7 linked regions of the Macaca mulatta genome follow. The protein of the gene in region 7 purifies or fractionates together with the protein of the main gene of each other region. This does not show direct contact. Links are inferred from orthologs where the notes say so. Each region holds a gene or a part of one and is shown on either strand. Other genes may lie near its edges.

Region 1 (4,169 bases), on a different chromosome or scaffold from region 7:
TTATTAATACATTCCCTTACAGAATACAGAACTCTCTGAATATTCAGTTCCTCAACTACATGATGAAGTGGTGAAATGATCCATGTCTATGCTCTCTTTCAGCTTTATGATTCTAAGGAGAAAGAGAATCTGCATTATTACTACCATGAGACTTAGATGAAGCCTGCTTATGTACCAATAAAGTAGAAAAGAAAAATACGGGAAAATAAGCCATTTGAGGACCACACAAATATTCACCAATACTACCATATTTTTGTGAATTTTCTTCACAATACTACCATACAGAAAGGCCTTTCTAAAGAACTTTCTTTTCCAGGATAAGCAGTTACCCTAAACCAAGAAGACCAAAGCATCTATTTAAAAAGGTAAGTTGTCCAGGCATGGTAGCTCAATCCTATAATCCCAGTACTTTGGGAAGCCAAGTGGGGCAAATCACTTGAGGCCAGGAGTTCAAGACCAGCCTGGCCAACATGGTGAAATCCCATCTCTACTAAAAATACAAAAATTAGCCGGGCATGGTGGTGCACGCCGGTAATCCCAGCTGCTTGGGAGGCTGAGGCACATGAATCACTTGAACCCAGGAGATAGAAGTTGCAGTGAGCCAAGATTGTGCCACTGCACTCCAGCCTGGGCAACACAGCGAGACCCTGTCTCTAAAAAAAATAAAATGAAAAGTAATACAAAATAAAAACGATGAATTACTAACAATTATACAATCTTCTAATCAGCAGATTTTCCTTTTATTTTCTCTCAGTATTTTCACCCAGTTCTTCAATCTTCAGAGAACTTGTTTTGACAAAATGAGAAGCTGAGCCCTAATTAAACTTATCTAAAGAATGTATAATTATTAAAAATCTGATTTTCTTATGTATTTGTATAGAAGAGTGCTGGTATACTGAAAGATCAAATTGTAGTTTAAGAAAGGCAGCAATGAAGATATATAACAATTAATGTTACATTAATATTAAACTCCAGGTTAATTTTCCCAAATAATGTTATGGGTCAGTTTCCAAATTCTCTTTATTCATGTTATAGTCCAACTTTTCGATCTTCCAAAGTCAAAATAATCTTCACTTTACCTTCTATGTAGCCTTCTACCTCCTCTATTGTGCGTCCATCTCTCTATCTCCCCCTGCTAAGGTTTTCTCCTTTTTCTACTGTATATCACAGCAGGTCTCCACTTCAATTCTTAGTTTCCTTCCCTGGTTTTTCCAATTGTTCTTCCCATTCCTTTACCCCACTGTTTTATAGGATTCTCCTTTCTTTTCATCCCTAGGACTTACTGTCACAGTACTGCATCTCCTATTCTCGCTTCTTTTGGTAAGTTTTTACACACATTACTTCTTCAGAACCTAAGGTTTCTCTTCTGTAGTCCTTTTTCAAAGAATATTTATCAATTCATCTCTAGAATCCCAAATATACTCTTGAGTCCTCATACCTAAGTATCCTTCCTACTCCTTTTCTCTTTACAGTCACTAATTCCCAGAATCCTGTCTGAAACTACAAATATCCCCTCAAAACCAAATGCCTATTCAATTGTCTCCACTTTCCAGCAATTATCCCATGTTCACCTCATTCTTTGTCCTCGGCCCAAGTATCCCCTAACCTGGCACAAGCCATTTAATGATCTAAAATTCCAAAGCCTATCTCTTCAACATGGCTCTCCTCTCTTTCCAGCAAACTGTTTCCCTAACTCCCAATGCTTCACTAATTCAAAGTCTTAGGCCAGTACATTGCTTCCCTCAGATCTATTAGCCCCGCAAAAACTGATTGCCCAAATCTTCCTCTAAGCTTCCCAGACCTTACAACTGCAGCACTTCCATTCACCAAACCGCATTTATAGTTATTTCTCAATCTTTAGAGCCTATGGTCACTTTGCAAATTCTTCAGTCCTCTCCTTCTTCTCTCTCCCTTATCCTGTCCAGCTTCTCAGCACATTCCTATTACCCTTAACAATCTTCATGGCTATATTCTCCACCTTACCTTAGGCCTACTCCCCAAACTTTCTCATTCTCCCTTAAGAGGCCTAATCTCACCTCTCATTCCCTGACTCTGTCTTTAGACCTCTGGGAATTATCTAGAATCGTCTGCTTCCTAGTGCTCCTCTTTCGTTCTCCAACCCTGTCCAACTCCCTAAGCTTTTCTACTATCTAGTTCTCACAGTATACATATTAGAACTTTTACAATATCCACTCCTCCCAAACCTTTTCTTAGTTGTTGCCTCAATTCCCCTCAACTTTTCTCTCGGTCATTCCCCATTTCCCTCCACCTTCCCTGGCCGATTTTCCTCCACCTTTGTCACCTTTTTCTAAACCTCCTTCATTCTGGAGGTGATTCTCAGTTATGTTAGTCTCTCAGCTTCCCCAACCTTTGCCTCATTCCCCTCTCCCTCCAACAACATTATTTTTCCTCCAGTTTCTATTGACTTGGCGCCTCCCCTAGTTCCCCAATCTGCCTTCTACTCCATCTAAATATCTCCAGGCCGCCGCCAACATCTTCTCCTATCGGTAGACTCCTTCCCCGTGCCTCTCTGAACGCTCAGAGCCACCATTCTCCAATGGCCGGGGCCTGGCCCCTAGGTAGGAGTATGGGTCACGTACCCCATTCGCATCTTGGCTCCGCTCTGACTGCCCCCACTGCCGGGTAGAGGTGGGCGAGAGGGAAGGCGGCCGAGGTGCATGCTCTTTTCGAGGGCCGACATCAAGGAAAGGCTGCACGCACGTAGTCAAACAGTAGGCGAACCTTCGTCCCACGTTGAGTGTGGCCCAACCGGTCACGACTCGCTCCCCTAACGACGCCCAGTCGCCTTTGGACAGCACCCAGCTACCGGTAGCACCGCCTACCGCCCACCGGCTCTGCAAACTCCACCCACTCGCTTCAGCACTTCCACCGGAAGTGCGCAACAGCCCTCACACAAAGGAAGCTGGGTAACAGAGTCTGCGAACTCCGCAGACTCCCAACTGGAAACCCGACAACTTTCACCGGAAAGAGGAGCCGTCTTCAGGGCAATGCACCCTGGGCAATGGAGTCCTCAACGGGCGTATCCGTATGCGCTTGCGCAGCCGGAGGCGCCCCCAGCCAACCCCGCAGAGGTATTGTAGCAAAGCATCCTGGGTATTGTAGTCTATTGGCGGGAAGGCGTCTTGGCGCCTTCTCTTCCCACTGTTTTCCGGAGACTGTTAGAGGAAGAGTGGCTTTTCCCTGCCTCCCAGGCTGCCCAGCGGCGCCGGTTGCCGGGGAACGCAGGCGCCGTGGGGAGGGATGGCGGGAGGCGGCTGCTTAGGTGGTGGAGACAGAGTTGTGCTGATGAAGAAGAGCTCGGGCTCATCATGAAGCAACGTAAAGGCCAAGGGCCTGGGGGCAGCCGTGGGCGCAAAAAAAGAGGTAACCCGAGCGATCAAAGATTGAGGAAAGCGTTAACAGGGGAGCAGGGTGTAAGGAATTTTAGGGAGACCCCCACCCCCGCTGGATAAACAAGAAAAGGGACGTAAGAAGGGAAATAGCCAGGGGACCAGAAGGTTAAAAGGAAGGGCAGTTGGCCCTCCAGAGAATAGAAAGGAATTAGGGGCTGGGGTAGGGGCCACAAAGTGGTGATTAATGAGATGGAGGTTACCGGTGGGATGACTGTAGAGGAGAAGAGCAAACAATAATAGGATTGGTTTTGATAACGAAGTGAAATGTATGTGTGCGAGTAGCTTTAGAGGTCCGCAGGGACAGGAAGAAACATAAATTGGCAAAGGGATGATATCATTTCTTGTGTGATTGTGGACAAGAATCACGTTTTATACATTACTGAATGACCAAGGATTAGTACAAAGCAGGACTCGGTAAATGTTTGTTGAATGAATGAAGCATGAAGGACTGGCTATGAGCAGGAGTTGGGGAAAAAATAATTGTAGAGTATAGAGCGGGGAAGAGTGGGGAATGACAAGTGTGATAGGATTGAAGTGGGGGTAAGGGCATGAGGTTCTCCTGAAGGACCTGAGATCGTGAAAGAGTGTACAGCAGAGAGTCCTTATCAGGTTAACACCTCGAGGAGACACAGGCTCACCGAGTAGGGGATGTTAGCTGCAGTGAGAACAGTCAAACTGGGGACCGAGGGCAGATCAGGAAACTGGATATTGAATCTCTACAAGACTGCCTCGAAGGGAAAAAGGACAGTGGGTGAA
Region 2 (4,040 bases), on a different chromosome or scaffold from region 7:
GTGAGAAGATTAACAATTTCTGTGTTGAAGATAATGAAGTTTAAATACCTCTGGAGGCAGGGCAAGTTACCCAACAAGAAGTCAGACTATTTAAGTTTGAATTTGAAGAACAAGGTTGAGAATGGGAGCACATGAACACTATTACTCAGAAGAGAGAATTTTAAACCTGTGGACACAGTCTTACCCTCAATGCAATTTCACTCCATCTTGAGGCAACCATCAAGAGTTGACCAGTTCCATTTATTTTCATAGTCGTAAAAATTCCACAAAATTGTTAGTCTCTGTAAGTGATAACTTTAAAAAGTCAGAGCTTTTGTCTTGTTCTGAGTCATTTTTCCCCTTTCCTCTTTGTATGCCATTCTTTCTGTCAAACTATCTAGTTAAGGAAGCTATATGAGGTATAAGGAAGAATATTAAGAAAATTTTGTTATTCTTATTGTCTTAATTGTAAAGGCAAAGAAAAGAACATTCGACTATTCTACCTTTAGCAAAACCTAAGTTAAATAATGATTTACCTATGTGACTCTCCACTAATTTTCTCTTGCAAATCATCACCCCTTAATTAATGGACATCCCCAAGGCAGTCAACTCAAGCTGTAGCTTTAACCACAGAGGTTAAACAATTCAGTCCTGTTGTTGCTGTCAGAAATCCAAGTTACACTGTACCTTTGTCTAATCAATGGTGCCCTACTTTGGTGGGAGATGAAGGAAGGGACCTGTTGGCAAGGAAACAGCTGCTTCCTTCCTGAACAAGGGAAAACCAGTAAGGTGACAGATGGGCAGAGCAGAAAAGTAGCCAAAAATTGCTCTGGCTCCTGGTTGGCAATAATTTTTGGAACTGAGGCACAACTGAATATTTTAAAGTATATCAACAATTGAGAGAGAGTATTGTTTACCTGGGCGCGCCAAAGTTCAACAAGCCTTCCCACACATTTTCTACATTTGAAAAACTTTTACGTTTGCAGTAGTACAAAGAGCTTAGCCTTAGCCTATGTACAGTGGGCAAAGACTGCAAGGCACTGTCCCATTTCACTTTAGGATTGCACCCAAGCAAATGCACTTTCTGGTTAAAAAAAAAAAAAAAAAAAGGAAAATTTTTATTTTCTCTATAATATAGTTGTATGACTGACTAGAATTACTATTAAAATCTCATTAAAAATGTTTTCCTTAAAAGTTTACTTTTATATACTTAATTTGAAAGGATTTGTTGCAAACTTTTATAATTTGTTCTCTAATCATTCCCCCTCCCACCCACTTCGGTACCCAGAAAACTAAATATCCAAGAATTCCTGGGTAAAACAGACAACCACTAGATTGATATAACTAACGTATTTTTTTTTTAAGCTGTATAGTTCTTCATCAAATGGAAATCGGCAAACCACTGAAAATAACATTAAAAATTAGTGTGGGCATGAAGTATGGAATTTTAAACATCAGTTTACTATGCTGATTAAGTCAACATTTATATTTTCATCAGAACTTAATAATCCCATAAATAAATAGAGCTCTCAATTATTTAAAAAAATCAAGGGATAACATATGTATTTAGACATAGTAGCAGCGTAAAGATGTATGCTTCAACACACTTATTGGGGAAACGTCTGAAAATATTACTACACTGAATTCAAAGGTATCCGCAGGAACCTGACATAGAAGTTCTCTAGAATAACATCATTTCAGGAAATTTCAAAAAAGAAAAGGGGTCGAATAGGAAATAGCCTCAAATTAATTGACAAAGTTCAGTGTTTGCCCCAACTTGATTATTCTCTCTCTCCACTGCAAAAAGAAAGTCTCAGGATGAGTGAATCACTTAGACGAAAGTTCATCTAGTGGAATAAATGGAGAAGCCGCTTGGGCAGGTGACACAGGAGAGTCGGTGGTAGTGCTGACTTTCGCTGGTGAGTTACAAGAAGATCCGGCACTGCTGCTGTTTCCATCAAGGGTATCCGAAGATACACACACACCAGGATCTGACAGCTGTGCAACGTCAGAAGAAAGCATGTTGGTGATGCCCTGGAAAAATCTCTTTGGCTGATAATCAGTTTCCATTTCACATTTTCTTTTCAATGGTCCAAGAACACTTGGTCTAATGCAATTGATGGGGCTCTGGCTTCTCCGTGTGGTAAATCGGGTCGTTGGGCTGGGAATAGGGCTTGGAGGCAATCCGTTGCTACTTACAAAACTTTGCAAGGATGGCGAAAAACACTGCTTCCCAATTCCCCGAGTGGGTGACGGTGCCGGTGACACAGGAATGAAATCGATGCGCTTGGGGGAGGCGGATTTCTCCACGTCGTTGTCACTCAGGCTGAAACTTTCCTCCCAGGAGTGGCTTATCTGCATTGCGGTCTGCACCTCCCGTTCGTGGACCGTCTCTCGGTTGATCAAGTCCATACCCTCTTCTTGTTTGATCTGGTGCAAGCGGCTGCTGTGCATGCGGACAGGGGAGGCCGGTAGCAGCAGGCCGTGGCGGCTCGGGAACGTTGTGCTGTTCCGCCTGGCGCTCGGCGCCTCGGCCTGGAACACCGGCGAAGTGTCACTGAGGCCGTGGATCAGGGGGGCGCTGTTAGACCTCCTGAGGCCCCCGCCGCCGCCGCTGCCGCCGCCCTCCGCCGGGCTCCCGCCCGTACCCGGAGGCAGCTCCAGGTCTAGCTCCATCTTCTCCTGAGCCATGTCGGGGGCAGGGAGGCGGGGGAGGTGCTCAGTCAGGGACCTAGGATTCCCATTCCCCGCAGTCCAGGGCCGCCGCCGCTGCCGCCGCCACCGAGAATCTGTCAGCGGGCTGGCCCCTCTGCGCATGCGTACCCCTTCGCGCAGGCGCTCGCGATGTCCGTCCTCGAGGCGCCTGCTTTATGCGTAATATCTGCGCGGCAGTGGTAGGGGAGGGGCGAGGAGTAGTCGGGCCGCTAGTCCGTATATTCCTTCAGCAAATAGCTATTGAGCGCAAACTGGCATTGACGAACGTCAATAAGATTGTCATATTCTGGAGTACATATTTATAAAACGAACAAAGCCCTGAAAGAGAGGCCCATGGTGATGTGGGGCTGTATGACGGGGAGTGGCGCTTGCGAATCAGGGAGGGCTTCCTCGAGGAAGGAACAGTGTCCTGAAATCCGAAGAAGTGGGCGAAATGGGTGCGATGTAAAACTTCGCAGGAAGCGGGAAGCAAGGGCGACCCAGCCAGGTGGCAGGCGGGAACCAGGAGGGGAGGAGAAAGTGTGGCCTGGAGTGGAGAGTGAGGGCTGGCGTGACGTGAGGTGGTGGACCAGACCACATTCTGGTCTTTATCTTGAGAACAATGAAAACTTAAAGGGTTTTCAAGCATGGGTATAATAGCAACTGAAAAGCTCACTGGCCTGCAGTCTGGAGAACAAATACTGGGAGATTAAAACCTTACAGAAAAAAGGCCAGAGAGGATGGTAATTTGCACTAAGGTGACAGTGTGGAAGTGGAGATGGAGAGAAAAGTAAATGAGAACTGTTTAGGTTAGGGGAAAAAGCCAAAACCGGGGATGGTACTGATACTGATTTACAGTCATAGTTCCAGCACAAGCATATGTGTGAAGTATGAAGGATTAAAGGAAAACCAGTAGGTCCTCACATTTTAAAAATAAAAACACTATTCTTGGCTCATGTAATTAATATGAAACCTTGATAGCTCATTAAAAGTGAGTTTATTTGTTCATTTATTCAGTCAAGGTTTTTTTTTTTTTTTTCCAGCATACTTACTATGTGCCAAACACTGCTAGGAAATGGGCCCTAGTCTGAGAACTTTTAATTCTTACTGAGGGGAAAATACAGAAATAAACGCAGGCTATTTTCAGATAGTGGTAAAGCCTTAGGAAAAACAAGATGGTGTGATGGAGCACTACTGATAGAAGGCAGCGGACAATTAGAGCTGAGATCTAAATGACAAGCAGCAGCAAGTCACGTGGACATCTGGGGAATGAGTATTCCAAGCAGAGAGAATAGCAAGTGCTAAGGCCCGAGGCAGCCATGAGTTTGTTGAGTAAGCGGAAAAAGAAAGAAGGGCAGTGCTGCTGA
Region 3 (2,139 bases), on a different chromosome or scaffold from region 7:
CACAGATGAAGAAACTGAGGCTGCACGTCCCCGCCTAAGCCACAAAGCGATTTCTCCAGGAAGATACGGGAATTGGGGCATAAATAGCCCTTCAAAGCTCACCCACTCAGCTCCACCTGAGGCTGTAGGGCCCCGGCCGCAGCTGATTCAGTTTGGTCTCGGGGTGGGGGCGGGGGGAGAGATCGACCACCTTTCAAGGCTTCAAAGGGCGATAAGTCCCCAGCTCCGCTTGGGGCACTGTTTAGTACTATCGTCTCAACTCAGAAAGCCCCGACCTCCCTGTCCCGGAGTTGTAGGACAATTTCAAGGGAACCCCCAAATCTGGAGGGGGCGGGGCTCCAGTTAGGGAATGCCCGGGCAAGGAAAAGAGGGCCCAGCCCTCTCCCGCCCACGTGGTAACCGGTCAGACCGGTTCTTGGGGCCCCAGCGAGCCGCCGCCAGCCCCTGACCCTTTAACCCCGCCCCTCCCCCACCAGAGCAGAAAACCAGACAGCACCGGCTTTTTTACTCAAATGGTCTTTATTTTCCTATCTGACATTTCTAACAAAACGCCAGGTAGACGGAATTAAAAAGAATTCACCACACGAAGGGTAAACAAAACAGACCCTCAGGAACTCCCTGGCAAAGGTATTCCCCTCCCCAGATTGGCCCAGTTTCACCAGCAACTGGCCTCAGCTCAGCTTTATGCCTTTCCACTGACACCCCCACCCCTCCAACATTCTCGTGATTCAGACCAGGAACTTCTGGGATGATTGTGTCCGTGTCTGGGGGAGGGGCACGCTGAAACCTGGGAACCTACTGGGCACCTCTAATGCAGATGAGAAAAACTTGAATGTGAAACTAGATCAGCCCCCGCTCTCACCCGAAGGTGCAGAGGCGCGGGACATTAACCAGCAGCACGCGGGGGTGAAGTGACTCAGGCCATTCTCCTCCCCACTCCCCAGGGCGGGTGCACGCCCCAGACCCTCCTCCCAGGCCCCACACCCACGCAAGGCGACAGGAAGCTCCCCACGCCTGCCCCATGACGCAACGATGACCGCTTACACAAGTATGTCAGTGGAGGGGGAAGGGGAGTGCCTGGAATTCTCCGAGGTTGGAAACGCAAAACCAACTCTTGAAAAACCTTGAAAAGGGCCACCACAGCCCCCAGTACAAAATCAAGTCCGACCCTGAGATCTAAAAAACAAAACAAAACAAAAATACAAAACAAAAACCCAAGCTTCCCTTCTCCCAGTCCAGAAGGAGAGCGAAAGGTTCACGTCCCAGTCCACTAAGACAGCACCTCTGGGCGCAGGTCTCTGCGGAAGGCGCCCGCGCCCCCGGCTCAGACTCCTCGGTGCCGTCGCTGCACACTGAAGGCGATGGCTCCCCGGGGACAGAGTCCCTCTCCGGGCCTCTCAGCAGCCCGGGCGGCGGCTTCTCTCCACGGTTTTCGCGGGCGCTACCCCCGGGATGGAGGGGGGTGGCCTCGTCTCGGGTCTGCGCCCTCCGGACGACGGTTCGACGCGCGCTCTGGGATCTGGCAGCGCCGCTCGGGGTCCTCAAAAGGCCACCACGGCCCGCACGAGCACGTTGAGCATGCTGTCCGCCGGGCGGCAGGCGGGCTTTGCCTCGCACGCGGGCGGCGCCGTCGGAGGGGCCGCGGGGCTGCAGTTCAGGAGGCCGGAGAAGCGCCTCTGCAGGACGCGGGCCAGGTTGGGAAAGGCGCCCTCCGCTTGCGCCGGGGGCGGTTGCAGGCAATCGGCGACTTCGGATGACGCCCCCTCCTCTTCCTCCTTTTCTTCCAGCCGGGCTTTCTTGCTCGGGACCAGTCCAGCGTCCCCGCCGTCGCTCAGGCTGCTGCTGCGTCGTTTGCGGCTGACTTTGGCGGGGCGCGGGCCACAGTAGGCGGAGGTCTCCTCGGCTGTCGGCGCCTCCTGCGTGTCCATGGGCTCCGGAGACGGGTGCTCACCGTCGGGGGTCGCTGTCTCGGCCGTGGACTCAGCTTCCCGGGGCGGGTGCAGGCGAGGGTCAGAGGGGAGGGCGGGCGGCAAGGACACTTCGGGCTCGAGGGCCTCTACCTTGGCCGAGAGGTAGAGCTCCCGGGCGCTGCGCATGACCAGCGACAGCTGCAGACTCCGGTGCAGCCGCAGGCCACCG
Region 4 (4,012 bases), on a different chromosome or scaffold from region 7:
ATTAATCAATCTACCTCAGGAGTTCCATGGAAAAACCAGAACTAGAGATAGAAATCACCAGAATCAGTATTACTACCCAGTATTGAAAGCCCTGACGCATACATCCCTACCTTGTCCATCTGTTGAATTCCTGGTCATCCTTTAAAACCTAGTTTAGACATCATCTCCCAAGGTCTTCCCTGATCACCCTGAGTGAATCTCTTTCTCCCCTCTATTACGTGGGTAGGGTATTTTGTAGGTACTTACACCTTTCCATTTAAGACTGCACAGTAATTATTTGTTGACGCATAAAGGCAAGGGACCTCATTCAATTCACTTTGGTGGTCATTTTCTTTTTTTTTAAGCGATGGGGATCTCACTATGTTGCCCAGGCTGAATTCAAACTCCTGGGCTCAAGTGATCCTCCCATCTCAGCCTCCTGAGTAGCTGGTACTACAGGCTTGTGCCACCAAGCCCCCTCACATTGGTCTTCTTCAACATTAACATTGTAAATTACGATATGTCTGATAAAGAAGACTCTTTTTTTTTTTTTTTTTTTTTTTTTCAGATGGAGTCTGGCTCTGTCGCCCAGGCTGGAGTGCAGTGGCCGGATCTCAGCTCACTGCAAGCTCCGCCTCCCAGGTTTACGCCATTTTTCCGCCTCAGCCTCCCGAGTAGCTGGGACTACAGGCGCCCGCCACCTCGCCCGGCTAGTTTTTTTGTATTTTTTTTAGTAAAGACGGGGTTTCACCGTGTTCGCCAGGATGGTCTCGATCTCCTGACCTCGTGATCCGCCCGTCTCGGCCTCCCAAAAAGTAGACTCTTAATAAATGTCAATGAAATTGAACCAAATTCATCAAAAATTCATCAATTTGCATCAGAAAGTCAGAAGCAAAAGTTACAATTGACAAAGACAAAATGCTGCCAGCTGAGAATTAAGGTTTCCAACATCATGCGGGGGAACCATTAAAACAATCAAATCCTTTTTCTACCTCCATCTAAACTAGTAAGTCTACAGATGCAGAAAAGAAGGACGAAGTTCTCTTATTCACAGAAAAAAAAGGGGTTGAGTCCAAAGTGCCTATAGTATTTCTTCTCTCAATGACTCACATGACTATCTGCCCATAAAAAGATCTGCATAAAAAATGCTGCAGTGTGTCTATCACCAAACTGTGTATCATTTATACTGCAAAAGTTCTAGGAGGGTAGGCAGCTTATAAATACTCACCAGCAGACAGTGGGCAAAGTCAGGACCTCCCACTAGGCCAGTGAAATTTCCCAGCTGCTCAGCAAGAGCTAATAGTACCTCATCTTCATCATAAATTGTATCTGGAAGGGACAACAACAGGGACTCATCAACATGGATAGCTCTCACATAGCTGGACACTGACACAAAACTAGGAACAGATTCACTATGCGACCGGTAAGGTGGCCCAGTCAAAATCCTAACAGCATTTTCTTCCTTCTCCTCAATCAACCATCTTCCTGGATCTGTTTTGCACAACGAATTAGAAATTCATACTCCCATATCAATTACTTTCCCAACAGCTAAATGGTTGATGTTTGAATATATCTAACCACAACTAATAATATCCTCTGTTCTGTTTCTTTTGCACAGAAAGCACCTGGCTCATTTTAATGTGGGTAACAAACTCTAAAAAAGTCAGTGTCGAAAGTCCCTGGAAAATGAATGTCCCTGCCTTTCTTTAAACAAAGATTCACATACCTGTAAGAAATGGCAACAATTCACTTCGCGTCCTTTCTACTCCAAGTGCTAGGGCAATTGTTGATAACTTCTTAATACTGTTGAGTCGGAGCTTCAGAAAAGAAAGTAGAAGAACAATGTAAAGAAACGGCTGAATTTAGATCAAAAGACAAAAGGTGCTAACAGGTGAAATAATGACACAGGGGTAAGAACGAAGATAACCTTTTACTTAGATTTTACTGTTAAGGAACCTCCATAGAACGGAGGAGTGTAACTCGGCCTCAGTAGCCGGCGGAAGATTTCCTGGGAGAAACACTCAGAAGGGCCTGGAAGAGAAATGAATGAAAGACAATACAACACCCAGGAAGTAAGATAATCTTAAAAAGAGAGGACTTTGGCAGTGGTGAAGCAGGTGAAACGGTTGAATACAACGCCTGTGGTTTCAAAGAAAAGTTCCCGCAGAGCTGATACAACGACTCGTCCAGGTCGTCCAGGTTAATCGGCCATCCCACCCCCTCTTTCTACCCAACAGGACGAGCCAGTTCCAAGCCCAGATGAAGGGATTCCGAGGCACTTCAAAGAGCTTCTGGGCATCCTGCGCCCCTCAGCCGCTCCAGCCCCGTCTCGGCCCGGCACCGCGCTTCTCCAGCTCCCTCGCCTACCAGGCGCGGCCACCTCACGGCCCGGATAGGGCGCCCAGGCGGGAAGCTGGTTCCCCGACAACCGCCCTGGAAAGGCAAGGCTCCGGGCGGACCCCTTAGGGGGTCCGAAGCAGGGGTACCAGAGAGGTCCCCGGGAGGGTCGAGGCGTGTCACCACAGCCCCTCGCAGAGCTTTCCCTGCCCCCCCTTCAAGTTTCTGCTACGAGTCCGGCTCATTCAGTACCCCGGCCACCCCCACCGCGGCGCAGGCCTTCCCCCTTCTCTACCACGCGACCAGTCGGTCTCGCCTCGGCTCCCCGGCCTCAGTCCAGTACCTGCACGTCTTCATTGCGGAGCTCGTCGATTAAAACCGCGATTGGGTATAGCGAATCATCTCCATCTCCCCCAGCTGCTCCTGGGCCGGTCCCGAGCCCCGATGCGCCCGCCATGTTCTTTCTCCTCCTGCTGCTGGTCACAGCCTCCCGCCCCGCGCCCAGGCCCCGCCCCCGCCCCGCGCCCAGGCCCCGCCCCGCGCCCGGGCAGCAGGGGAGAAGGCCGCCACGCGGGTTTAGCAGAGGTTGGGGAGTTGAGTTTCTGTCCCGATGATTAAGACTCCCTTCCGACCCCCACTGCAGGAGTTGTAGGTCTGAACTCAAGAAGACGGGTGGGCTGAGAAAGCGAATGGAACCCCTGCGTCCTTTCCCCAGCCGAAAGAAACAGGGACAGGGATTCATCCGGCTCGTTGTAGTCTGAAGGGGCCAGGGACCTACCTGAGTGATCCGCGCTGTGCCCTCTTAAGACTCAGGCGGACCAAAGAGAGTGCCCGAGGCCAGGAGGAAAAAGGCTTTAGCACCTCCCCTGACTTCATCCTGGCCCTGAGCCACTGGATCTCCAGCCCTAATTTCTCCGCTCAGCCTCAAGCTTCCACAGAACCCCTCCACCTCTTCCCTCGGCCTGTTCTCCAGAATGGTATCTGGCTCCTGCTCCGTAAGACAAATAACGCGGGCGGTGAGAGAAAATGAACAGTGCTGTCCAAACTCCCCAGTCAATATTTTTTCCACGCAAGCTGTTAAAAACATGCTGCTCTCTTGTTTTTGTGTTTCTTTTCAGTTTGGTACTGGAATGGTGCCTTCTGTTGTATTTTCTTCCTCCCATTTTTTAGCTCTTTAGCATGCTAGAAGTACAACAATGAAGCAAAACTAGGACAAGCTTTAATCCCTTGAGGAAGAAAACCCAAACTGGCCTCCCTAGACCTCCAAGAGTCCTCAGAGGCAGCAAGGGGAAGAGGTGGAGGTCTGGGAGCTCGTTCTTACAAACCTGAATGGAAAGTTTTCACTTACCCTTGTCAGGGTAGCACAGAATAATTAGAATGTTTTGTTTGTTTTAGACTGGAATTTAAGCAGCTTGGAGTGATAACTACATATGGTGATCACAAGCTCCGAAATGGTAATTCTATGTGCCTGATTAATGAAACTACTAATGCAGTGTAGGAGACAGACTTTTTTAAAACATGGGGTCTGAGGCCGAGGCGGACGGATCACGTGAGGCCAGGAGTTCGAGACCAGCCTAGCCAACTTGGTGAAACCCCATCTCTACTAAAAATACAAAAATTAGCTGGGCTGGTGACCGGCACCTGTAGTCCCAGCTACTCAGGAGGCTGACATGAGAATCTCTTGAGCCCCAGAGGC
Region 5 (3,906 bases), on a different chromosome or scaffold from region 7:
TTTGGACAAGTCAGTCTCTTTCATCTTCCTATGTCAGTTCGAATGGGCTTTTAAGGTAAACTATCTAAACTTTTTTTTTTTCAATTACAAAGCTAAAAGATGACCCATATTAACAGCTTAACAGGAAACAAAGTTTTGCTGAAAAACATTTTTGCAGATAAGCAGGGCTTCAAAAGCTGATGGTTAAATTACTTAATAATATATACCCACATATTGGGTGACAAATTGGTCTAAACCGACCTTAGAAAAGCCAGTTGTAGCGGTAGGTTTCAAGAACCTGGCAGGTCGCTGATATTAGTATCTAATAGCATTCCTCTGATCTAGGAGGAAAAATTAAACGTGTCTCTCTTGATACTTAGTGGAGTCAGTAAACAATGTTCTCAGTCTGCGAATGACTGATATTAAGAACCACACCTTCAATTTTCTAGCCCAGGCCCTGGTTTCCCTCCTCCCACTTCCCTCCCAACCCAGGCAGGTTATTGCAGACAAGCAGGCAGTTACGTTGCTTCAAAATATTTAATACGTGTTAGACACGTAGAAGTTACATTTTTATACAAAAATCAATACAACGAAGGAGAAAATACTGTACAAAAACCTTATCAGCTCCCCCAACCTTTATATAACAAAGACTGGAGTCACCATATCTACAAAACCATAAGGTCTTTCCACTTCGGGCTTCTGTCTGTAAACTTTCATTAAACACTTTTTAAAAGCACTGTGTAGTAGTTCTGACCTAGAGCTTTTAAAAATATATCTTTTCTCTATAAACTCCATTATTTCCAAGCTTGAACTCTTCTGTGAAGTTCAAGCTTTTTCTCCCCTGCGGGGAAGCAAAGGACGGTTAATATGCCCCTTTCCTAGAGTAATCACAGGATATAAACGTTTCTTCATTGGGAGAGAAAGGTGGGGAGGGACAGAAGGAATCCAAGTCTGTGCTGCTGCCTAAATCCCTCTCGTCTTAGGAAATCCTGTGCGGAAACGCCACTCCTGGCCCTGAAGCGGGTCTAGCTTTCCGGTGAGGGGTGGGTGTAAAGTCCCTCCCTCCCCGGAGAACGAATGGGGAACTCCCCGGCCCAAACCTTTTAGCCGCTTCCTTCTCCACGCAGCCGGCAGAGGAAAGTCCCTGTCTGCCCCCAATCTCTTAAGCCCTGGGGAAGGAGTGGTGCATTCCAGAACAAAATAGTCTTAATGCCACAAGACAAACTTACATACACAGACATACACAAACACAAAAAGTTAAAGATCGTCCTCTTCCAATGAGCCTCAAGCTCCCAGGTCTCCAGAAAAGCCAGATGCGCCCGGGGGCAGTTTGCGATGCCCAGCGGCAACCAGTCTGCCCAACGCGCTCAGCGGCCGCGGTCTCTGGGCGTCCTCGCAGCCAGCAAGGGCCCGACCCTCACTTCGAGGACGCCCGCTGCTCAACCTCCTCCCCGCATGGGGGCCAAGGGCTCAGAAGGCCACGATGGCTGTGCTCCAGGGGTTCATGTCTCTCAGCACCGGCTTATCGCAGCAGATCTGCCCGGGCTCGGCGGCTTCCGGGCCGCTCTCCTCTCCCTCCTCTTCCTCCCTGCCGCCCCCGGGGCTTTTCCGTAGGAGTCCCGAGAAACTGGAACCGAAGATGCTGATGAGGTTAGCCACGTTCCCGGTCTCCATCTCCTCCGCGTCGTCGTCCTCTCCTCCACTCGGCGGCTGCTCTAAGTTCCGGCGGGGCTTCTTGAGCGGGGTCGAGCCGGGCGCCGGGCAGCCCGCTGGGCCGCCGCCCACCCCCGCCGCGCCGCGCTTCCTGGGGCACACTGCGGGCTGCGCGGGGGGCTCGTCCTCGGCTGGTCGCGGCGCGCAGCAGCAGGCAGTGCGGGGGGTCGCGGCCGGTGTACCCGGCGGGTCCTCCCCGCCTAGGGGGCAGCCGCAGGGGCGGCGCGCGGCAAGCGATCCCTCGGGGAAGACGCCCCAGCCTCCGGCGGGACCCTCGGCTTCTCCGGCCGCCGCCTGGCGCGGCCGCTCCACGCGGCTCCAGGCAGCTTCCGTCGCGTCCGCCTCTCCGCCCTGAAGAACGTCCCCGACTCCGGTCACCGTGGTCACTGGCACCTCGTCCCCTACCCGCGGCGCGTGTGAGACGGAAGGGCGCTCCGGTTGCGGCTCGGTCTCCGGCCAAGAGGCACGGGCGACGGGCGGGGGCGGCTCTCCCCAGCCGGCGGGTGGCCCGGCCGCCGGCTCCCCGGGCTGCTGCTGCGGTGGCGGCGCCGGGATCCCAGCGGGACCGGCCAGGTAGAGGCCGGGGCACGGGTCGCTCAGGTAGACCTGGCGGGCGCTGCGCAGCACCAGCGAGACCAGGAGGTTCTTATGCAGCTTGATGCCGCCGCGCTGGACCCGCGAGTTGTAGATCTTGCCCAGGGAGATGCTGACGATTCGGTGAGCCTCCAGCTTGAACTCCATCCTGCCTCCCCTGCACAGGGCCGTCGGCGCCGGGGTGTTACGTTCGGAAACTGGGAGGGAACGGGAGGCGCAAACAAGTCCGCCCCGTGGGCACACCCTTGATCACCTAAGACTCCGAAGAGAAATGACTCCGGTGACGCGCGCTCACTGCCCCGCAGACCTCTCTACACCAGACAACTACCCCGTTTCGGGTCCGGTAGCTAAACAGGGCAGCCCGGCCGCCCCGCGCCTTATATAGACTCCTCGACCGCCAATCACGAAGGGCCGCCAACCGTTCCGCGGCTGGCCGGCGCGCCCTCGTGCGCCGCGCACGGCCAATCGGAGCCCGAGGAGGGGCGCCAAGGCCCGTTCGAACGTTAGTCCCGCGGAGCAAGCTCTTAAAGGGGGCGACGGATTGCGGGCGCAGACCAGGCCGATGGGGAGTGAGTGTTGGGGACCGTGTTGGGGACCGTGCTCGAGGGCGCTACTGTTTGGAGTTACAGATTCTGGCTTGTGCGATGGCTTGCCGGAACCAAAGCGAACAAAATATTCGAACTTTCTTCCGAGCACGGTGTTGGACTCTGTTCTGCCATAAAGTCCTGATCTTTTCCTGATCAACTCCGCCCTAACCGGCCACGCCACCATTTCCAGGCCCGCCACACCTGTAAGCGATTCCCCTCAACCCTGGCAAAAATAGAGATGGTGGCTATACGCGGCGGAGGACACCCCTGGATAACAAATAGTATTACTGCAAAGTATTTGGCTGTCATTATTTTTGGATGAGCCGCTTTCCCCGCTAGAGTCACATACACTCTTAGCAGCTGTCAGTTCTAACACCAAAGAAAAAGGGGATTCTAAAAGTTTTTGGCTAGGTTCTTGGCTTCTTATCAAGGAATTGTGTCTAGATACAAAGTTACTGGTTGCCCTCTAAAGCCGGCATCTTTCACTTTGTTCTCTAGATTCTGGAACAAAGCCAGTTATCAAATAGGTTAAATGGAAGATGTTACAGGTTCTCCACAATGATTTTTTTCCCATTTCCATTTTTCCATTACAAGGACTGATCAGTCAACCCTTGGAAAAATCGAGCAAGGTCTGAAAATAAAAAGAAAGAAGTCCTGTGTTCCCATGATGATGTCATAATTTCATTTTGTGTCAAGGTAAAAATATAGCGCTAGGGAGTTCCAGAATTTTCTGGTCAGTCAACAATGTAGTCCATCTACTGGTCCTTATATCAGGGCACAATTACCACAGGGTTGCCCAGGGTCCTGGACTGGAAACATGGAGTCACTTCCAGTTAGTTCCACCGAAGCTCCACCACAGACCTGCCTGAGGACTCTGGGTAAATAACCTCAGACCGCTTCAGTGTCTCCACCGCTGAAAAGGGGAAGTCACATACACATCTGCTTTATTGTACAGACGATAAATGACAACTTCTCAGCCACAAACTGAATGAGAAAACTAAGCACTGCTTTCTTGGAGTCCATGTGGAACCCT
Region 6 (3,500 bases), on a different chromosome or scaffold from region 7:
GGGGGGCCCGCCTGCTTCCCCCGTGGGCAGGGGGCTGTCCACATCTCCATAGAGGGACTTGTACTTCTGGAGCTCCTGCTCCAGCTCGTCCTTCTCCCGTCCTAGCTTGGCCATCTTTTTGCGCATCAGGAAGGCTTCCTCTTTGGCAAACTGGAGCTGGCACCTCAAATCGGCACTGTCATCCTGCCAGGAGAGAACAGCCCGGGAGAAGGGTTATTTGAAAATACCAAATGTTCGTGTTTTTCATGATTCCCCTCACACCTCGCCCCCAATGCACACAAACATCAAACACCGATCTTCCCGTCGGTGCCGTTGAGTTACACAGAGAAAGACCCAAGACAAAGCAGGGGTGGGCCTGGGGCCTGTGAAAGGCCTACAGTTTGTTGCTTTGCCACAGAAACAAAAGAAACAAAAAAAATTAGTTTGGAAAAAAAAGTGCACGTGGAAATCATCATACAAGTTATGAGCGAAGTAGGGAAAACGAAATGAGGCGCAAAACCCAGCGGGAATGCGCAACACCTCATTGCTCTGTGGATCCCACCTGGTTCCTCACCGGCACCAGTGAAAGCCAGCAGGACCTCTCACCAAGGCCTGGTGCAGGCAGACAGGCATCTTCCACCCTGCTGCACTCACCACCTCCAACGTGCGGACCTCCTTCTTTCAAAGTGCCTGGCAATCCATGAGGTCTGACCAGGATGGGGAAGTCAGGCCACCCCAAATAAGAGCTCAGCTTTCCCCTGGTTTCCTAAGGTACCTGAGACAGGGCAATTCGCTTCTCCCCATCCTGGTCTCCCCAGCCCTAAGGCCCCACAAGAATGATATGACAAAAAAAATGAGGCATGAGCATGAGGGTGCTTGGAAGTCCAGGCGCGTACTGAGTCAGTACCGAGCTCTGGGTACACACTGGGTACTGCACACCCAGCCACCTGGGCTCCTTGCAGCCTCTCGCCATGCAAGTGCAGCTGCAGAACCTTTGCTTATGTTCCTTTCCCTTTAGTTGCTATGACACAGCAGGAAATTAAACTCGGAGACCCAAGGCAAGGAGTTAAATGTTGGATAGTCAAGTGTATCAAAACCTGAGAAGTGTCCTCATAGGCCTTCCAGAGGGTTCTGGAGGATCCTCAAAGCTGACTCTGCTGTTCACAGCCTGCAATGCTTGGCTGAGGTCAGAACGGCACTTTTTGGATCCACTGGAAAGTCAACTCTGCTTTGCAGGGCTGGTCTCCTTGTTTTGAAGCCAGATGAACTCCCCATTTTGGTTTTGCAAAAACGTTTTACTGTTCACATCCAGCAGATGGGAAAAATAACCGATTTCACAAATCACTCCTCTTTGATCGGCCATCAAAAGTTCCAAAAGGCTTCAGCAAAGGTTTCCCCCATCACACAGAGAAACTGACAACAACAGCTCTACAGGAGTCAAATCCCACAGCCCTCGTAGAGGAAAAGGCATCAAACTGCTCTCCAGGCCTGTCGCCCTTCTCTGGAACAAGTCAGCCCCCGGGGGAGAATTAACCCCTTCAGATCGTCACGTGTGCTCACAATGCAGCTTCTACACTCAGAGAGCATGGCTCGTTCTCTGCCGCAGTCTGGTCGCACACTCACAATTTGATAGAAAAAGAAAACCTCCCTCGGCACCCCCCAACGTTCCTCCTTCCACTCTGCCTGGGCCCTCCTTGCTCACCACAAACCCCGTGGAAAGGGAAAAAACGATATGACCAGGAAGGCTCAGGCCCACACCTACGATAAAGTGTGCAGCCACTGCCACAGGGAAAGCTTGCCCTGGCGCTATCTGTGCGTCCTCGGGAGGATGACATGCCCATTGTCATCTCTTAGCTGAGGACAAAACCAGGCCTGCTGGACTTGGGGTCAAACACACTGCCCGGAGTCCTAGCTTTGCCCCTCCTACTGTCCAAGGGGCCTGGGCTAATCACAGACCCGCAAGGTTGTGATGAGGGTCAAATGAAATAATGGTCTGTATATGATAAATCATAAACCTAAAAAGTGTATTTTTTATATATAAACTGGTTTGTATATGATAAATCACCATGCTCTAGCTCCCTGAAATTATCTTATTTGTCTGAAACACAGTTAGTATTGGGTAAAGGAGCCAGGAAAGAGTTTTTTCCTTCTTTGCACATTAGGAGAATAACATATAAATGTCACATGGTCTTTGAGTCCTGAGAACTTATCACATGAAGGATTTGGTTGGGTTTGGGTTAGGCAGACATAAAAATCAATCCTGTGACTAACCTGAAGTAAGGCTGTGTGCCCTACTCACAACTACTGAGGCGAATGGGCTATCATCGCCACTGGGGTAATGACATATTTTTTGAAAGAACCTACACAGAATACATGGACTGTAAAAGACATACATTGTTATTTAATACTAATACTAGAGGAAAAGCATACTTGTTTATCTGTTCATTCATTCTTTTTTATTATTATTATTTTATTTTGAGATGGAGTCTTGCTCTGGTCACCCAGTCTGGAGTGCAATGGCACAATCCTGGCTCACTGTAACTGCCGCCTCCCAGGTTCAAGCAATTCTCCTGCCCCCTGCCTCTGCTCCCGAGTAGCTGGGACTACAGGAGCATGCCACCGCGCCCAGCTAATTTTTGTATTTTTACTAGAGATGAGGTTTCGCTATGTTGGCCAGGCTGGTCTCGAACTCCTGACCTCAGGTGATCCAGCACCTCAGCCTCCCAAAGTGTGGGATTACAGGTGTGAGCCACCGAGCCTGGCCTTGTTCATTCATTCTTTCAAGACATATTTATTAAGTACCTACTATGTACGAGAAGTTGGCAAGTTACTTTTAAACAACCCCAGCTTCTTAGAACTTTCGAAAGTAGAGCAAACAAAAAAGCACCTTTTCAATTTTTGTTAAACACAGATTTGTAAGAAATTCAAATACACAGACAGGTCTTTGTTGTTCCCATGAAGGAACGCAGTTTAAGCTAAAATACTTGTCAACAGAGATGGATTGTAAATACTTAAAAGCTTGGGACCAGAAAACAGGGGAGTGCCCTCAGCCCCATTGTTAATTTGAGAGCCAGTGTCCGTCCATTGTCAAAAATCATCTAAATGATCCCATCTCCACCTCTGAAGCACAGAAATCCACAGCAGCAGAGATCACAGAGGGCAGCGTCGTCCAGCTACGGGGAAACTCGGCCCACTCTCCACCCTTCTTGAGCCTGGGACTCGAGACTGGGCAGGACAAGGTGGGGGCAGGGCCGCCTGCTGTGACCAGCGTCCACAGAAACTTGCAGCTGGCGAGGCCTTGATGTGGTGGAGCCAGGCCAGGAGGGGCAGGCAAGGGGCACTGTTGCCTGCATGGTACGGGAAGCTTTTGGCTCAAACAAGCGCGTGGACCAGGGACTGAGGCAATCCCACTCTGCCTGGTCCCTCCTTGCTCACCACAAACCCCGTGTAAGGAGAAAAATGATATGACAAGAAAGGCTCAGGGAAATAGCTACGACCAGCTCCTTGGGGTCTTCCCCAAC
Region 7 (3,500 bases):
AATCTCCCACTTGTGATCTTCCATGACCTTCCCTTTTACAGTCATGCTATAAACATGGTAACATTGGGGAGCTGCAGATGAAAGAGACCCGAGTTTCCAAATTACTGATTGGAGGAGGCTGCCTGCTGATGGGGATCATCAATATTAGACTTTACAGGAAAATAATCTTTTATTTGTTTGAGCCATTATGGGGTCTATTCTATATACAAACTTTTGGAGCTTTACTATAACTCTTAAAATTAAATTTCCAGGTTAGATTTTATGATCAACTGTCTACTGGATAGCTCTACTTCGATGCCCTACTATTATTTCGAACTTGACAGGTCCAATAATTTTCTATGTGTCAGAGTGTTCCACATACTGGAAAACAGCAATAGTTCATACAAAACCCTTGCTCTTGTAGAATTTACATCCTAATATGAGGAAACCAAAAATACATAAATAAAAAAATTTTAAATCATGGTAAGTACCATGATGATAACAGGGATAAAGAGTTATTGGTAGATACTAAGAGTTAATGGGAAAAAGTACCTCTGGGGCCTGAATAGTGACATGCAGCTAGCCATGTGAATGCTAGGGGCAAAATTTTCTAGAAAGATGAAACAGCAAATGCAAAGACTGGAAGAATAAGGTTTACTTAGGAACAGAAAAGTGATTAGTTGGCTGAAACAAAGTGAATTAGGGAAGAGTGACATGACTGGATATCAAAGATGGAGACAGGTTCCAGATCATGTAGAATCTTATAGGCCGAGTTAAATAACTTGGATTTTATTCTGAGTTCAGTGGGAAGCTACTGGAATTTATTTATTTATTTTTTATTTTTTATCAGGGAAGGAATGATATTTGAATTACATGTTGAAGGGTCTGTACTGTATAAAAGAGCAAGAGTGAATGGAGACCAGATGAGATTGCTGCAGTCACAGAGGTGAGAGACAACAGTGGCTTATGCTAGTGTAGGTAGGTAGGAGTGGAGATAGGGATATATGAGTTGATTTGACATATATTTTAGAGGCAGGGCTCATGGATAGATGGAGTTAGAGTAGGGGAGGCTGGTAAGTGGAAAAGAAAACTCCATATTGATACCTAGGTCAATTGTTCAGTTGCCTGAGTTGTTCAGTACCATTCCTCATAAATCTCATGCCTCAGGTTTGTGAGGAATGGAGCACATGATAGGTATTCAATAAATGACCAATTTTTACTATGAAATAGAGGGTCAACATAGTGGGGGTGAAAATACCGGCCCAGCTATTTGGCATTTTTTTTTGACTTTTCTATATATTTTTTATTTTTATTTATTTATTTTTGAGATGGAGTCTGGCTCTGTCACCCAGACTGGAGTGCAGTGGTACAATCTCGGCTTACTGCAACCTCTGCCTCCTGAGTTCAAGCGATTCTCCTGCCTCAGCCTCCCAAGTAGCTGGGACTACAGGTGCATGCCACCATGCCTGGCTAATTTCTTTTTTGTATTTTTAGTAAAGTTGGGGTTTTGCCATGTTGGTCAGGCTGGTCTTAAGAAATCCTCAAGAAATCCACCTACCTAGGCCTCCCAAAGTGCTGGGATTACAGGCATGAGCCACTGCTCCCAGCCGACTTTTCTATATTTTAATTAAACAGGAGATAATGATACTTACATTACAGGGTTGTTTTATCAAATATGTCCTTGGGGGTAGAAGTTACTAATATAAAGAGGCATGATAGGGGATTGAGAATTGTTAGTACAGTTCTGTTTCTGGATGTCCATGCTGGTTATAGGTGAGTTCAAGCTGTGAAATTTCATCAAACTGTACAATTATAATATGTGTACTTTTCTATAAGCATAATATACTTCAATGAGGTAAAAAATGTGATACTATACTTAAAGTTCCCAGTGCAAGTGCTTGGAACTCAATAAATATCAGCCACTATTATTTTCACTCTTATGATATAATGGAAACCAGTATGTCTGTGGTCCATGCAGTCCATACAGATTTGTGAATCCTTTAATAGAGAAAGGAACAGAGAAAGAATCTGAACTCTAGGGTCTTATCCTATTGTTGATAAAATCACCTCTAATTTTAATTCATGGCACATAAATGCCTCCCTATGAAGGAATTGATTCAGAGTCCCAATCCAGAGCCAGCCCTGGCTCGCCACTTGTAATAACAATATTTCCCTAATTTTATTGTTATGATTAAAGAGTCTCATAGGTGCCAGCACATTTTCAAAGGGGCAAGTTCTCCACAAATGCTAGATGTTGCATTTCTATTCCATATTTTCCCCAAGCCCACTCGTACCTGAATACTCTTGATTCAGGCCAGTTGATTCTTGGTCACAAAGAAAGGATACTAAAACTTTGATTGGTTATTTCAAAGTTCCATAGGTTAATCCTCAGGTCATCAGCGGACATGTAGGTTTCATAGTCGCTGTTGACGGATATGGAGTTGATGTGATATGTGTGTGCGTTGGCAAATACTCTTCGCGGGGTGGCTTCCACCATCAGGTCCATGGGTCTCAGGACAGGCACCTGGGATGCAAGAGAAACAAATCACTTCAGAACCAAAGATCTTCCATAGGAAAAGAGTTTGCATGCTAATGTCATTTATTATCACACACAAAATAATAGCCGCATTGAAGAAACTCCAAGTTAAAGAAGAGGCTAATAACAAATCACACACTGTTCCTGTTCCTTTCTGTTCCTCCTCTTTCAAAAGATATCAGCATCACTTAGCCCTGATGGAAAATTTCATTCTTTATAAATTCTAAACATTTTTCTAAGCCCCTCCAGGTAGCCTCATCTCAGGGGAACTTGGCTTCCATTGTGGAGTCATTACCTTCCAGAGACATGGTTCCATTTTTTTTAAAACATGAAATTTATTTTAAAAAGGAAGTTGTGGGAAAATTTTAGAAATGTCTAGTTCAACTTTAATCTAAATTTATCTTTTATGTCTTTTCATCTCATGCCTTTGGAAGCCTACACCCATTCCTGGCTTTGTCCTTAATCCTTAAGGGGATTTTGAGAAACTTTAGCATCACCCAAGACTCTAATAGTCCAGATTCAGCCACTAATACATAGGGAACCCAATGACATCTGATTGACCTGAGAAAACCTTGGTTTATATTTGCCTTAGAGTGCGAATCAGGTAGTGTCCACTTTTACATGCAAAACTGTTCCAGCTTGGACATTAATGATATGGTCACCTTACTGAAAAATAAAAACTTCTCAGTAAGTATTTCTTGAATGAGTGAGTGAGAACACATGATTAAATGATTTCTGTCTGGTGGGTCAGAGAATCGACAGCTAAATAGTCCCCCATACATGACTGTCTTTCTGGCAAACGTGAACAAAGACCTATCACTCTTCCTCCTTTGAGTTCTGGGTGAACTGGCTCCAAAGAAAGAGAGTAAGAGCACAAATGCCTGAGAGGGAACAGACTTAAAAAAAAAACACCAAAGACAAAGAAAACCCCACAACACAGGTGTGGTCCCTTAATAGAAACAAGATAATAAAATACCCAAAGCTA

The links.
Region 1: the proteins of PPP2R2B (region 7) and PPME1 purify together in Homo sapiens (affinity purification with mass spectrometry; 3 studies listed by BioGRID and IntAct, with this or other methods). This does not show direct contact. The link is inferred for Macaca mulatta from reciprocal best matches to the Homo sapiens genes PPP2R2B and PPME1.
Region 2: the proteins of PPP2R2B (region 7) and PABIR1 purify together in Homo sapiens (affinity purification with mass spectrometry; 4 studies listed by BioGRID and IntAct, with this or other methods). This does not show direct contact. The link is inferred for Macaca mulatta from reciprocal best matches to the Homo sapiens genes PPP2R2B and PABIR1.
Region 3: the proteins of PPP2R2B (region 7) and IER2 purify together in Homo sapiens (affinity purification with mass spectrometry; 3 studies listed by BioGRID and IntAct, with this or other methods). This does not show direct contact. The link is inferred for Macaca mulatta from reciprocal best matches to the Homo sapiens genes PPP2R2B and IER2.
Region 4: the proteins of PPP2R2B (region 7) and PPP2R1B purify together in Homo sapiens (affinity purification with mass spectrometry; 4 studies listed by BioGRID and IntAct, with this or other methods). This does not show direct contact. The link is inferred for Macaca mulatta from reciprocal best matches to the Homo sapiens genes PPP2R2B and PPP2R1B.
Region 5: the proteins of PPP2R2B (region 7) and IER5 purify together in Homo sapiens (affinity purification with mass spectrometry; 4 studies listed by BioGRID and IntAct, with this or other methods). This does not show direct contact. The link is inferred for Macaca mulatta from reciprocal best matches to the Homo sapiens genes PPP2R2B and IER5.
Region 6: the proteins of PPP2R2B (region 7) and MTCL1 purify together in Homo sapiens (affinity purification with mass spectrometry; 4 studies listed by BioGRID and IntAct, with this or other methods). This does not show direct contact. The link is inferred for Macaca mulatta from reciprocal best matches to the Homo sapiens genes PPP2R2B and MTCL1.

The regions. Positions count from the first base shown.
Region 1 is NC_133419.1:74,579,613-74,583,781, reverse strand, and holds the start of PPME1 (protein phosphatase methylesterase 1), read right to left. Parts: upstream 2,801-4,169; 5' UTR 2,702-2,800; coding exon 2,601-2,701; intron 1-2,600. Other genes in the region: C2CD3 (C2 domain-containing protein 3), read left to right, coding at 3,330-3,384. UniProt on the Homo sapiens protein: Demethylates proteins that have been reversibly carboxymethylated. Demethylates PPP2CB (in vitro) and PPP2CA. Binding to PPP2CA displaces the manganese ion and inactivates the enzyme.
Region 2 is NC_133420.1:99,819,401-99,823,440, reverse strand, and holds the start of PABIR1 (PPP2R1A-PPP2R2A-interacting phosphatase regulator 1), read right to left. Parts: upstream 2,801-4,040; 5' UTR 2,797-2,800; coding exon 1,807-2,796; 3' UTR 1-1,806. UniProt on the Homo sapiens protein: Acts as an inhibitor of serine/threonine-protein phosphatase 2A (PP2A) activity. Inhibits PP2A activity by blocking the substrate binding site on PPP2R2A and the active site of PPP2CA.
Region 3 is NC_133424.1:13,727,093-13,729,231, reverse strand, and holds the end of IER2 (immediate early response gene 2 protein), read right to left. Parts: coding exon 1,542-2,139; 3' UTR 501-1,541; downstream 1-500. UniProt on the Homo sapiens protein: DNA-binding protein that seems to act as a transcription factor. Involved in the regulation of neuronal differentiation, acts upon JNK-signaling pathway activation and plays a role in neurite outgrowth in hippocampal cells.
Region 4 is NC_133419.1:112,506,952-112,510,963, forward strand, and holds the start of PPP2R1B (serine/threonine-protein phosphatase 2A 65 kDa regulatory subunit A beta isoform), read right to left. Parts: upstream 2,801-4,012; 5' UTR 2,774-2,800; coding exon 2,660-2,773; intron 2,011-2,659; exon of another isoform or gene 1,907-2,010; intron 1,797-1,906; coding exon 1,706-1,796; intron 1,309-1,705; coding exon 1,208-1,308; intron 1-1,207. UniProt on the Homo sapiens protein: The PR65 subunit of protein phosphatase 2A serves as a scaffolding molecule to coordinate the assembly of the catalytic subunit and a variable regulatory B subunit.
Region 5 is NC_133406.1:38,498,408-38,502,313, reverse strand, and holds IER5 (immediate early response gene 5 protein), read right to left. Parts: upstream 2,640-3,906; 5' UTR 2,434-2,639; coding exon 1,450-2,433; 3' UTR 501-1,449; downstream 1-500. UniProt on the Homo sapiens protein: Plays a role as a transcription factor. Mediates positive transcriptional regulation of several chaperone genes during the heat shock response in a HSF1-dependent manner. Mediates negative transcriptional regulation of CDC25B expression.
Region 6 is NC_133423.1:79,814,582-79,818,081, reverse strand, and holds part of MTCL1 (microtubule cross-linking factor 1), read right to left. Parts: intron 184-3,500; coding exon 1-183. UniProt on the Homo sapiens protein: Microtubule-associated factor involved in the late phase of epithelial polarization and microtubule dynamics regulation.
Region 7 is NC_133411.1:155,548,701-155,552,200, forward strand, and holds part of PPP2R2B (serine/threonine-protein phosphatase 2A 55 kDa regulatory subunit B beta isoform), read right to left. Parts: intron 2,504-3,500; coding exon 2,326-2,503; intron 1-2,325. UniProt on the Homo sapiens protein: The B regulatory subunit might modulate substrate selectivity and catalytic activity, and might also direct the localization of the catalytic enzyme to a particular subcellular compartment.